Linked DNA regions of Oryzias latipes. The protein of the gene in region 3 binds, or shares a complex with, the protein of the main gene of each other region. Links are inferred from orthologs where the notes say so. Each region holds a gene or a part of one and is shown on either strand. Other genes may lie near its edges. The genes, in order: rhno1, hus1 and rad1.

Region 1 (3,257 bases), on a different chromosome or scaffold from region 3:
ATCAATTCTATAATTATCAGGAGTTGAATATCAAAGCTACCGTACAACCGTTAGAAGCTAACGTTAGCTGCTTCAGCCCGTTTTCCGATGTTTGCGATGCCGCGTTTTATCAAAGTTAAAGGCGACACTTAAGTTTTCCCAACACAATTCCACGGACACGAGCGGGATTTTCACGCCACAATAGACAAAACTGAAGACCAAAGAAGTCCGTGAATAAGTAAGGATGTATTTTCAAGGCTTTACTCTTACCTTATGCTGTAATAACTCATGTTTATGCACGGTTACTAAGGAAAAGGCTCCTCGAAGAAAAACGCTTTTTGCGGACGCAGGAGCTGCGGATGAATACTCTGCCTTGGCAACCAAGCGGACCAATAACGAGCACTCCTATTGGCCGGCTGTTTTCCTAGAAGGAATCTAATTGGTTTACATCTGGGGAAAAGGTGGGAACAATAAAAGGTTTTCTCTAAAACGAAATGGGCTTCAAATGACCATCCAGTATGACTTAAATTTCTAATATGTGTTCAAAACTTAGAAAAATAAATAATTATTAATCAGATGTCAAATTCATTTATTTTTCATTTGATTCTTGTCAGGCAACATCAGGAAAAAATAATATTATTTGGGTGTGCAAGAGAAATGAAAAAGGATTTTTTACAAAAATTAAAAGATTTATGATAGAATAAACTTAAGTGACTAATCGAGGAGGCCCCTTTCCTTTAATATGATCATCAATCCCTTTCTCCTCCTCCACGTCACCTTCACCCCATAGTCCCTCTCTGGTGTGTCGGAGACCAAAACATTAGGATGAAGATGACACTGCGGGGAGGAGGGATCAGCCAGCAGTGAACAAACAGGGGGAGACATGGGGCAACTGTTCTGCTTCATTGTTGGAGTGTCCACTTCAGGAGGCGGGTCAACATTGCCAAGTCTAGGGCTACTACACCCACCGGGTGGAGTTCTGCTTTCCTCCGTTACCTCTATTAACTGATTTTCAGGTTGGTGCAAATATTCACTGTGAGATGGAGCTCTGTTTAAAGATTTTTGAGGATTTCTTCGTCTCTTAGGTGCAGGTAAAACTGTCCTATTGCTTTGACATGATCCCTGTGGTTGATCTTCAGGCATTGACGTCACCTCTGCCGCTTTCTTTGTGCGCTGTCCACTTGGATTATGGGACTTGTCTCTCTCCGCCCTAAGAAATAATAACGATGGGTATTTGCACACTTTGTGTTTCCTGGACAGCTCGTTGCACGTGTCAAGAATCCTTGTGACGGACTGACAATTTCTTCTTCCTCGTCTAAATGGAGGTGTAGCTGAGATGTCAAACTGGGGTTGAACCTGAAAGGTTGGGAAATTTATAGTTAAGTAGACTTTTTTGCCAGTTATCTAATCAACTAAATCTATATTTGTAATGTTTTATATATTTTTATATATTTAAAAGACTTTTACCCAGGAACTGAGAGCTGAAGAGCTGTGTGTCTTGGAGAAAAACTCTCTGGGATTGAGAGCAGCTCTGACTTCAGGCACATTTTGAAGTCTGGCGCCACTCACAGGTCGCTCCAGGAATTGCAGTGCAGGCTTGTCTGTCTTTGCCGCTTTCCGGGGCATCAATTTAAATCAATCTTAAGCATCTGTTCAAAACAAACAAGAGACAAATCCGATCGAGTAATCTTGTTAACAATACACATAGCTTTAGTCGTAGATCGAGGCTGTTTACATATTCGCATTCAAGTGTTTACTTTTGAAACGCGTTCTTTACTTACCATATTGTGCTTTTTCCGTGATTATGTGTCCATGTACGGAATACGGAATAAAAACGTTCCCTTATTTTTCGGTTCATTCAGACCTTTTTATCTTAGCTTGTCCGTGTTGTTGTTACTTTTAATTTCCCGGATTTTTTCTTTGTCTTCTTCGGGTTAGCGGCTGGCCATCTCGAGCTGCGGCCCACAGCGCCACCTATTGAGCCGCCCAGTGTTTTTTTCTGCGTTTACTATTGGTCCATTGTTACCATGTGATCAAAGTGACAGTCGGGGCAGCGCCCACAGCGCCAAAATTCAAAACTGTTTATGGATTGACTTTTTGTATCTAATTACTACTAAATACGTCGGTTTTGTGAATATTTTAAATGTTTTCTTTGATCCGACAAGTGGAATTGAAAGCCGAACCAAGCCTGGAATTGAATGAAACGCTGCAGTAATTCAGTAATGTGAAGGTCTGGCTTCATTTTTCCACTTGTTTCCTCCATCGTCAAACAGCTTTAGCATAGCTAGCTTAGCCTAGCTGTAAATAAAGGAAACTATACGCTAATCGGGACATTGGCTAGGCGCATGTTATTTTTTGAATTTATTTTTTGTTTTATTGATTGCATTGTGTTAACATGTAAATATATGTTGCACTGAATATCCACTAGATAGACGTTATTGAAATTAAACCTATCATCAACTGAAAATTATAACGACTGGCATGTCGCCAAGGGAACCGAATAAAATCTTCACTTTCGAGCGAGGGACTGTTGGGACTTTTGCAGCAAACAGACAGCAATAATCGGGTTTCTTTAAGTTTGAAGACGATATCATAGGATTGAAACATCATTTTTGACCGATTACTTCGTATTCTATTAGCAGGTATGTTGTTTTCAGGCTCACTAGTTCGGGGTTATCGTTAAAGTCAGTATTTAAACGTTGTAACGTAATGTATTGATAAGGTGTTTAACTTCTGAGTACTTTTTGAGCCATAACTGTAGCTCAAGACCTTTTCCCCCTCCCCACAGATTTCCATTGAACACCTAAGGCCCTTTGGATGATTTGAACCATGAGACGGAGCCCAAGGAGACCCCTGATCCTCAAAAGGCGCAAGTTACCTTTTCAACAAAAGGAACCCACCCCAGCAGACCCATCCAGGCAGTCCGGTGGCTCCAAAGAGCCGTCAAATTCCAGCGACAGTTCGTGCTTCCCAGACGGGGTCCGCTTTATAGGCCACCCATCCCTGTCAGACACTCAGGTTGTGGTCATTCCCAAAGCTACAGACGTTCAGAGTGTAATTAGTGTCCTCGCCGCTAAAGGCAAAGACAGCGGAGTTCAGGGTCCGAGCAAGTTTATTCTCCTGAGTGACAATGGCAATCAGGATCAAGCCGGATCTTTCTGTGAGACTGCTACTTCTGGAGGAGATGCTGTTTCCACACAAATCCCATCTCAAGAACCAGCAACAAAAGAAAGCACTCACACATCCCTTGATGTGACTGGCATTAAACCCTGTAAGGA
Region 2 (4,102 bases), on a different chromosome or scaffold from region 3:
TTCTTTTTACCAGTCTGCCCTCAGAGTGAAAATGTTTGACCTTCTTCAGATGATAAGACCAAACATGGTGTCCAACGTGCTGAAGTTTGAGTTCTGGGTAAAGAGGACTGAGCCTTTCTCTAATCACCCACAAAGACCTGCTGTTTCACCTATGACCATTTTTTTCTTTTTAAACAAATGCAGCAAATATTTAAAAGAAAGAAGGGAAAGAAGATCTGCAGTGAAATATTTCTGCAGTCAGAAACCTTTGGATCTATTTGTCTGACATCAGGATGGAGCAGAATGTGGCTTTACTTATTCAATTTACTTTAGTTACTGACGACTTACAGTCCATCTGTTCCTTCCGTTCACTGAACTCAAGCATCACACAAATCTATCTTGAAGGACCAAAGTTTTGAAGGTTTCAGGTGAAACAAACAGCCAGAGGAGCCAGGACTTGTAGATCATGAACCTTGTGTGATCATTGTGCCGTTTACATGGAATTCTTTAGTGATTTGTGCGCCAATAAAGTAATTTTAACGTGATATGTGCGCCGTAGACGTGATATAAAAGTTATACATGCGTGAAAAGTCTGTTAGACATACGTGGAATGGTCGTGCAAAGCCACAAAATTGCATATACATCTCACAAAAATCACACACAATTGCGTAAGAATAATTGCGTGTAAACTATGCAAAATACACGTAAACTGTGTAATTTTCAACAAACTAAAAATTTTGAACAGCTCAAAACCAAATTCCCACACAGACCTGTCGTCCAAAACTCTCAACGGTTCTGTACTGAGTTTGACCTTTCTAACCTTTATCATAACCACAACACACGGGAATGCACCTGTGTCTCTGAAGGACCACAGCTGACATTTTTAATCATCTATTAGACATGAGGAGCAGATCATTTGCTGTTCAACTAAACTTGTTAGTTCTGAGAGGGTTTTATAACTTACTGAGTCTGTTAATTAGATTTGGGATTTCATTACTGCTGCAGGCTATTAAAGTTTGACATTGTGTTTATTTATTTTTTGACAATCAGTTCAACTTTTGACCTATTCCTTTTCTTCCTGTGTGAGAAGTTTTTTTTGTTAATTTCTTTTAAGATTTTTAACATTTTTAGACTTGATTTTATCTTTATTTTTTTGTTTGTTGATGTGGGCGTAGGTGTGTATAAATTTTGCAACATTATTTTTAACCATTGACTATATAGTCACACTTTTAATGCACTTTGAGCTGCATACAGTGCTGTATAAATAAAGATTGATTTATCCTTTTAATACCAAGTCTAATTCGTTTCAGTTTTTACAACAACTTTCGAATATTCTGGATTTATAAGTTATGTATCTGTTCAGACAGGAACTATTATTGTTTTGTTTCCGGGGAACATTTTACGCAGACGGACCTAACCAAGACAGAGCGCTTTAATGGTTTCCCGCCTGCGTTTGATGCGCAGAAGCTGTGTTTAGCAGAAAACCTCAGTATTTGGTCTCAGAGTCCAGATGAAGTTTCGGGGGAAGATCGTGGACGTGGCGTGTCTGAACCACTTCACCCGTGAGTCACTTCAAACAGCAAAAAAAAAAAAAAAAAAAAACTACCGAAAACTGAGAGCCGACGATGTCACATTCAGTTATCTACGAGCCACTTTCATTCACATTATAAATTTCGTATGTGTAAAAATTCACTTCAATCTGATCAGCAAATAAATCTAATATGATTCTCTTAAATGACGACTTTGAAAAACTTAAAACGTTTGTCGTGTCGCGTTGCATGTTGGGAATAGGAGTTCTGTAAATATATTTTTAAAGGGCTTTTAACCTCAGGTGTGCATTTCTGTTGTTTCTGTACCTGAAATGTATGAGTAAGCCCTTCAATTATGTTCAATTAAATTATTTTTGACGAACATTTTAAAATATTTTAACATTTAATTGATAATGTGACCAATAATAGCAACCAGAGACTGACTTTAGAAACTAGTAGTTTGAAACAAACGAAAATGTATTAAAAGAGAAAACTGCAGTTGGCTTAAACAACCTGACTTCACTTATCTGGTAAACCCAGTGAGTGCAGATATAAAAAAATACTAAATAAACATAAATAAATGTGCCTGTTTTGAGGAGAAATGTGTTAATCTGCCGTATTATTATCGAATAATTGGTGTTATTTGGTAAAGGAAATCTCATTTTGCTGTCCAACTGTTGACTGAAAACATCCAGTAACAGGGCTCCAGATTAACTTTTTTCACTAGGAGCACTGTTGCCCCCAACTGAAAATTTTAGGGCCACAACCAGAAAATTTAGGGGCGCATATTGTAAATCAACATGCTAACCAAATCTATTAATTTCCACTGTATTACTAATAAATACTTTTATAATAGATGCCGAAATTACAACGTGCTGTTTCAAATTCAGTGTCATATTTTATTCTGCACTTTTGAAGATGCAACAAGGTAAACTGACAGCACCATCGCTGTCATGACAGTACAAATAGTAAACAAAATACCATACATTAAAAAAAAGTTTTTAGTAACAAGTGAATACCGTAGTAACCTTTCGGTCATTTCACAGTTTCAAACAATACTTAAATGTATGTAAACATTAGGGGATGGAAATTCATGTTGGCGACACCAAATAGGTGCAGCCAAGATGCACAATAATTTGAGATCACCCAGATGGACGCAACGCTGCACAGATCACCTGGTGTGAGACATATTTTTGTTTTTCCTCAACATCACCTGTCAATCAAAACAAAAATATCACCAGAAAGGGGCGGAAGCAAGACCTCAACCTGAGCGAACGCAGCTAGAAATTTAGCACTGAACTGACTGAAAGCTGCCCTACAGACTACAAAACGATGCATTATGGGACATGCTTCCTGATGGGTTTTTTGTAGTTCACTGATCAATTAAAATAATTTAAAATACCAACTGATTAAAAAAAGCTACATACATTCCAAAACATTAAAATAATTATAAAAGATGTAATATCACAGATCATACTTAAGGGGAGAGGCATGTTAAAACTAAATTGAATGTTAAGGACTACAACTTCCTGCTCTCCTTCAGTCTCGCTGCAGCTTCGCCTTCATGCCCCCCCCCCCCCCCCCCCCCCCCAGGGCGCTGGTTTATCGTAAACCCGACTATTGTTGCATTTTCCACACGTGTTTTAAGTGCGTCTAAGACTAAATCGTCTCATTGTTTATTTCATTGCTCATTTCATTGATCATTGACGTGCCCCTTCCACGTTTAATGTATAAAAAATACGGAGGGTGGGGGAGGCAAATTTACTGGTAGATATCTAGCACATGCTAGATGTAAAATTCAGTCGCACACTCTCAAATTTTGGTCGCAAAATGCAACCAAATGGTCGCAGTCTGGAGCCCTGAGTAACAGGAAATGGTGAACATGTGGAGTAAACGGGTTCAGTGTGTGCTCAGGACTGACAGTGGTTGCTAACTTCCTCCAGGAGTCGTCACCACCATCTCCAAGCTGACCAAGACGTGCGTGCTGCGGCTCAACCCGGACAACCTTTTCTTTGTCCTGTCAGGGAAAGTGGCCAATGGAGGAGTCAGCATGTGGTGTGAGCTGTCACAGGTGAGCAACGCCACCTTTTGGTTTGGATTTGGCATTGCAGGAAGAATATTTTAAGCAATTTTAAACCTACTGCAGGCTAACTTCTTCGACGAGTACCAGATGGAGGGCGTTTCTCCAGAGAACAATGAGATTTGTCTGGAGTTGGCTCCAGAGAACCTGTCCAGAGCCCTGAAGACGATCCAGAATGCCAAATCTGTTAAAGTCAAACTTACCAAGAAGCATTGCCCCTGTCTGACTGTCTGCGCCGAGCTGGTAAGTCCTGCTCTGAGCACTTGACCCCTCAGCTTAGGAGAAACTGTCTTCAGGGAAGATCTGTGATTTTCATAAAAGCTTACTAACAATCTCCCAGTCTCAGGGTTCAGGTTGGTTCTTCTGGGTTTAGATAATTTTACGGTATAGATGATCTCGGTTCTCATAATCATGATATCCCATTGGGTTTATTTGAAGCTTTGAGCAACACCTGCTGTCCACACTTGTGAGCATTCTGTTCTCTGTTTTGGCCCGGATCTTGGCGTTTGGGCCG
Region 3 (4,218 bases):
CATCCAATAAATAGGAAACTCCTTTAGATTTGAGCATCAACTTTACCGACCTTCCCCTCATATCAGGAAAATGGTACGTTCCTCTGCAGAGCTAGACGGAAGATAAAAGGGGGACTTGGCTGCATGTCAGAACTGAAAAGGTGTCATCACTGCATTTCTAATCTTTAGAAATGACCTTTTAGTGCCCCTTCTGGTTTATTTGTTTTGATTCAGTTTCTGTTCAGACGGCAAATACCCACATTACAAGACATTTAGTCAAGACTTTAGCTCAAAAGCTTGCGTTAAATGAAGCAGTCATCTTTCTATGTTTGCATTCATCAGACTGGGATTGCCTCCTGACAGAGTTCCTCTTCTTGGCTGTTTTTTTTTAAGAGCAACTGGAAACCACTGCAGTTAAAATGCTAGTTTGGGTCAGTCTAAATGTCATTCCTCCTCCTCCTCCTCCACCTCCTCATCAGGACAGTAGTAGAATTCCAGAAAGCAGATCTGTCCGTCATCATTCCTGACCAGGTACTGCTGGGAGAGGAGGCCCCTGTTGTCTGTCCTCACTGAGACCTTACAGGACAGAGCCAGGGCTTTGGTGGACGGCTTCAGGAGGGACATCTTATATCTGTCATGATTCATGAAACAGAAGAAGACATGAATGATGAGCCTTTTTTTCCCTCTCTGTTATATGTAAGGTGGCAGATGTTTAAACAAAAAGAATAGTTGAAAGATGTTTAGGAGAATCTTCAAAATTAAAACATTTTTGAAATGTTTTTTATTTCAGGTCATCTTTTGGCTTTAATGATGCACGTTTCTTCTGATATCTGCACATACCGGTTCGTTTGCGTCATGGTGCATTGAAACAGCTCCATCATGTCCGAGTCTTTGGAATAATCATAATGTGCATTTCCAGAGTTCCCAAATGTTGACAACCTTAAACAGATCAAACAGTAAAGCATTTTTTAAAGCTTAAATATATCATATCTTTTTTTGCTTTCTGATGAAGGCAGACTGTTTATTCAGTGCAGGAGAACAGCAAGCAGGTTTTAGCAGCTCACCTGAAGTACGGCTGGCTGGGGGACATGGTGATCTGAAGCACATCACTGGTCATGTCCAGTTCAGAGAAAGCTTCCTTCAGACTCTCCGACTGCAAAATCACCTTTAAAAAGGGCATTTTTTTCCCAAAGGATTTCATAATAAACACACAAATGCGAGACTTCAAGCTACTAAGCACCTGGATGTAATTAAGTAAGATATTACTTTCACTGTTTTTTCTAATTCAATTAAAAAAAAAATCATCTTTCAAAAGATGAAGCTTTTTCACAAAAAGACAAATGATGACGGGAACCTTATTTGTAACGTTAGTGCTGCAGAACTCAAAATCCATTGGTTCTTCAGGTTCTTGTGTGTTAATCTTGCAGACTGTCACCACGCCCCCCTCCTCCAGGAAGAGAGTCAGAGGGTATCCATAACCTTTGTAGCACATTCGTAAGGCAGTAGAAGTTCCTGCAAAGTCACAACAAAAAAAGATCTAAAAAGGGTTGGAACTAAGTTTGAATTGTGCAAAAAAAAAAAAAATTCTTTACCTGCTACTGCATTTCCTCCAAAGATATTTAGGCAATCCAGCAGAACAGTGAGGTTGATCTGAAAAGTCACCAAATCTTCCTTAAGGGTGAACTCCTGAAAGATCTCTGTCTGGAGTGAAAACAGAACAACTTCTCTTCAGTCAGGATTTCGAATACAAAATTGATGGATGCAAATCCAAAAACAAAGACTGCACACACACCTGGATGAATGCATTGGCTTGAAGACATTTGGAGTCCTCCACAGTGACCTTTAGGCCGTTGGGTGTTGCTGTGAAGACTGCATGATCCTTAAAAGTGATAGCTTTTAGGATGTTGGAGAGATTGCGAGCGTTGTCCAAACTGGCTACTAAAACATAGTGTTCCTCATCGTCCTGAGACTGTGTGGACAGAGGCATTGCTCTGCTGAAAGACAAAAACAGGTTTGCAAGAATCTAAAACAAAACAAATACACTATTTATTTCAGCAAAAAACATTTCAGCTTTCTGGGTATTAATGCCAACATATTGAATCTATTTGATGGACATTCGGCAGGTTAATTCTGATAGGACTGAATTTAATTAAAACTTATTATTCGGGATTAAAAATCATTAGGAGAAAAAATTATATTACTAATATCAATATTTCTAACATTAGAAAGCAACCTTTTTTCTAATTGTATTTAATGATCACATAATAAGGTTTGAGGAATCAATGTTGCATCAAGAAGATGAGAAATGAGATCATTAAACTCAGCTTTAATGAGAAAACTCATTAAAGCTGAGTTTTCTCAACTCAGCTTTAATGTCTAAAAATTAATCAAACTCTTCAAACTGAATTAAAATATATATTTCTTTAGCTTCTGATGTTTATTTTAGCTGTTGTGAATTCACTGAAATTCCTTAATTAACGGTTTTATTTTGCATTGTGAGGTAGTTCAGAATGATGACTTTACTGCTATCAAATTAGCTGCTAATAGTGTTTCTGTCGTATGTTTTTCTTAAATAATATTTTCAGAATTTCCTTCAACTTTGCCATGTTAATAAATTAGCTGTGTTAGCTAGGCTACTTTTTCAGCTTTGCAGCTTGAGATAAGGAGTAATAAACGACACAAAAGCAACTTTTACCTTTTTTTAACTTGCTTTTAAAGGGGTGCTCCACTGATCTATAATTGTCCTGGTTGGTTGGAAAACTGCGGACATGTATCGAAGAAATGCGCCCGATTTGTAGCAACTTCCGGTTTGGTCTTCCCTCAACGGAAGTTGCGTTTCTGTGCGGCACACTATGTTCCAGAGATTTCGCTCCTGAGTCGAAACTGAACAACTCTTCGTGACCGCAACAGCTGTCTCTACTAAGGCCGGTGGTTTGTGATCGTATTTAGAAAAAAGGGTAAGTTTATTGAAATTATCTGGCTTGACACCATGTCTGCTGGTTTTCCGTGTTCGTTATGTAAGCCGCAAAAAGAGCACGAGAAGTTGGAAGCTAACTCACTACGTACCGGTGAGACATATATTTCTCTAGAACTGTTTCCCTCAGGGAAAAAAAAAATACTAGAAATAGATACATGTCGTTTTTAAATAATGGAATATATATTAGATAGATCCGAAATAGTCCTTTAATAAAGCTGAATAACTGAGGCAGCTAACTTAAGCTTCATCAACTTTGCTGACGCAGTTCAAGTTAAGCTAGCTCATCAGGCTGTCTGTCTAACTGTCAAATGTTTATCTTACTTTTGGGACTACAGCGCCACCTTTTGAGGCTTTGTTCTCCTTATATTTTTTTCTTTTAATTACTCAATTTTCCTGCTGCTTTAAAGCAATCAAACTGAGTTGGTCAAACAAAGTTTGTTAAAATTGTTTTTGGACAAATGGTTTTTTAGGAGTTTTTCCTTACCGCGAAGGGGGGTCTAAGGGCAGGGATGCCAGTATAGCTTAGTCAGTTTGTTAGTTCTTTTTAGTATTTTCCTATTGAACTCTTTGTATTCATGATCCTTTTGAGTTCATGTTTTACTTCGAAGCCCATCGAGATGACTGTTGTTGTGATTTTGGGCTATACAAATAAAATTGAATTGAATGGAATTCAAAGGTAGAGCAGCGCTCAAATCTCAATACACGGTCCACAAATGGACACAAATAGATGAATCAAACTTTGTGGCAATATGATACAGTCCAAATCTTCTACCTAATTGTAGACAATGTATTTATTATTCATTTATAAAACTATAAACAAAATGCCAACGAGAGAAACTTACTTACTGCCACTTTTTACTTTTATCAATTAAGCAAAGTCCTTAACATAGAAGCTTCAAACATAAAGACTTGGTATTCTGCGTCTTTAATATTGATTTTCCCCTTGTGGTTATTTGATTTAGGCCTTGTTTGCAGTCCTGTGGGGAAAAAAGGATTGTAATATGTTTATAGCACACAAAACGCATCCCTCCCTGTAGTTCCCCTTTAGACAATTGTAATTGGCCCGACCAGGTAGAAGCAAGCTTGTGATTGGACGTCTTTTTATTTGTATCATTTGGACTTTAAAGTCCCACTCAAATCATCTTTGTGATCTTTTTTAAAAGGTTCCCAGTGGCCTCGTTATTATGACGATGCCGTTTTAGTCACACACAACAAACAAACAAAAAACCTGTGTTGTTCTTAGAATTCACTTCTAAGTTGTG

What was found.
Region 1: the proteins of rad1 (region 3) and rhno1 are in contact, whole or in part, in a crystal structure (PDB 6J8Y), measured with the Homo sapiens proteins. The link is inferred for Oryzias latipes from reciprocal best matches to the Homo sapiens genes RAD1 and RHNO1. Residues at the interface, in NP_002844.1 of Homo sapiens: Asn47, Gly48, Ile49, Lys50, Phe64, Ile65, Gln66, Ser149, Lys155, Ile157, Glu211, Ala212, Lys240, Val241, Ser242, Arg244, Gln254, Tyr255, Met256, Phe266, Glu268; in NP_001239428.1 of Homo sapiens: Ser55, Trp56, Val57, Ser58, Pro59, Asp60, Phe61, Asp62, Thr63.
Region 2: the proteins of rad1 (region 3) and hus1 are in contact, whole or in part, in a crystal structure (PDB 8GNN), measured with the Homo sapiens proteins. The link is inferred for Oryzias latipes from reciprocal best matches to the Homo sapiens genes RAD1 and HUS1. Residues at the interface, in NP_002844.1 of Homo sapiens: Asn85, Val88, Asp91, Cys92, Ser94, Ile95, Phe96, Gly97, Ser98, Gly127, Val128, Val129, Thr130, Val131, Cys132, Lys133, Ile134, Asn135, Gln137; in NP_004498.1 of Homo sapiens: Thr165, Ser168, Val169, Lys172, Met173, Asn175, Ile176, Glu197, Leu198, Val199, Cys200, Val201, Thr202, Thr203, His204, Phe205, Lys206.

The regions. Positions count from the first base shown.
Region 1 is NC_019881.2:18,846,768-18,850,024, forward strand, and holds rhno1 (RAD9, HUS1, RAD1-interacting nuclear orphan protein 1), read right to left. Parts: upstream 1,925-3,257; 5' UTR 1,761-1,924; intron 1,629-1,760; 5' UTR 1,606-1,628; coding exon 1,447-1,605; intron 1,336-1,446; coding exon 694-1,335; 3' UTR 573-693; downstream 1-572. Other genes in the region: foxm1 (forkhead box protein M1), read left to right, coding at 2,809-3,250. UniProt on the Homo sapiens protein: Involved in microhomology-mediated end-joining (MMEJ) DNA repair by promoting recruitment of polymerase theta (POLQ) to DNA damage sites during mitosis.
Region 2 is NC_019878.2:4,320,272-4,324,373, forward strand, and holds the start of hus1 (checkpoint protein HUS1), read left to right. Parts: upstream 1-1,202; 5' UTR 1,203-1,489; coding exon 1,490-1,541; intron 1,542-3,451; coding exon 3,452-3,579; intron 3,580-3,654; coding exon 3,655-3,831; intron 3,832-4,102. UniProt on the Homo sapiens protein: Component of the 9-1-1 cell-cycle checkpoint response complex that plays a major role in DNA repair. The 9-1-1 complex is recruited to DNA lesion upon damage by the RAD17-replication factor C (RFC) clamp loader complex.
Region 3 is NC_019870.2:9,822,227-9,826,444, reverse strand, and holds rad1 (cell cycle checkpoint protein RAD1), read right to left. Parts: upstream 2,831-4,218; 5' UTR 2,678-2,830; exon of another isoform or gene 2,675-2,677; intron 1,976-2,674; exon of another isoform or gene 1,973-1,975; 5' UTR 1,967-1,972; coding exon 1,772-1,966; intron 1,681-1,771; coding exon 1,572-1,680; intron 1,492-1,571; coding exon 1,334-1,491; intron 1,145-1,333; coding exon 1,044-1,144; intron 919-1,043; coding exon 820-918; intron 611-819; coding exon 424-610; 3' UTR 177-423; downstream 1-176. UniProt on the Homo sapiens protein: Component of the 9-1-1 cell-cycle checkpoint response complex that plays a major role in DNA repair. The 9-1-1 complex is recruited to DNA lesion upon damage by the RAD17-replication factor C (RFC) clamp loader complex.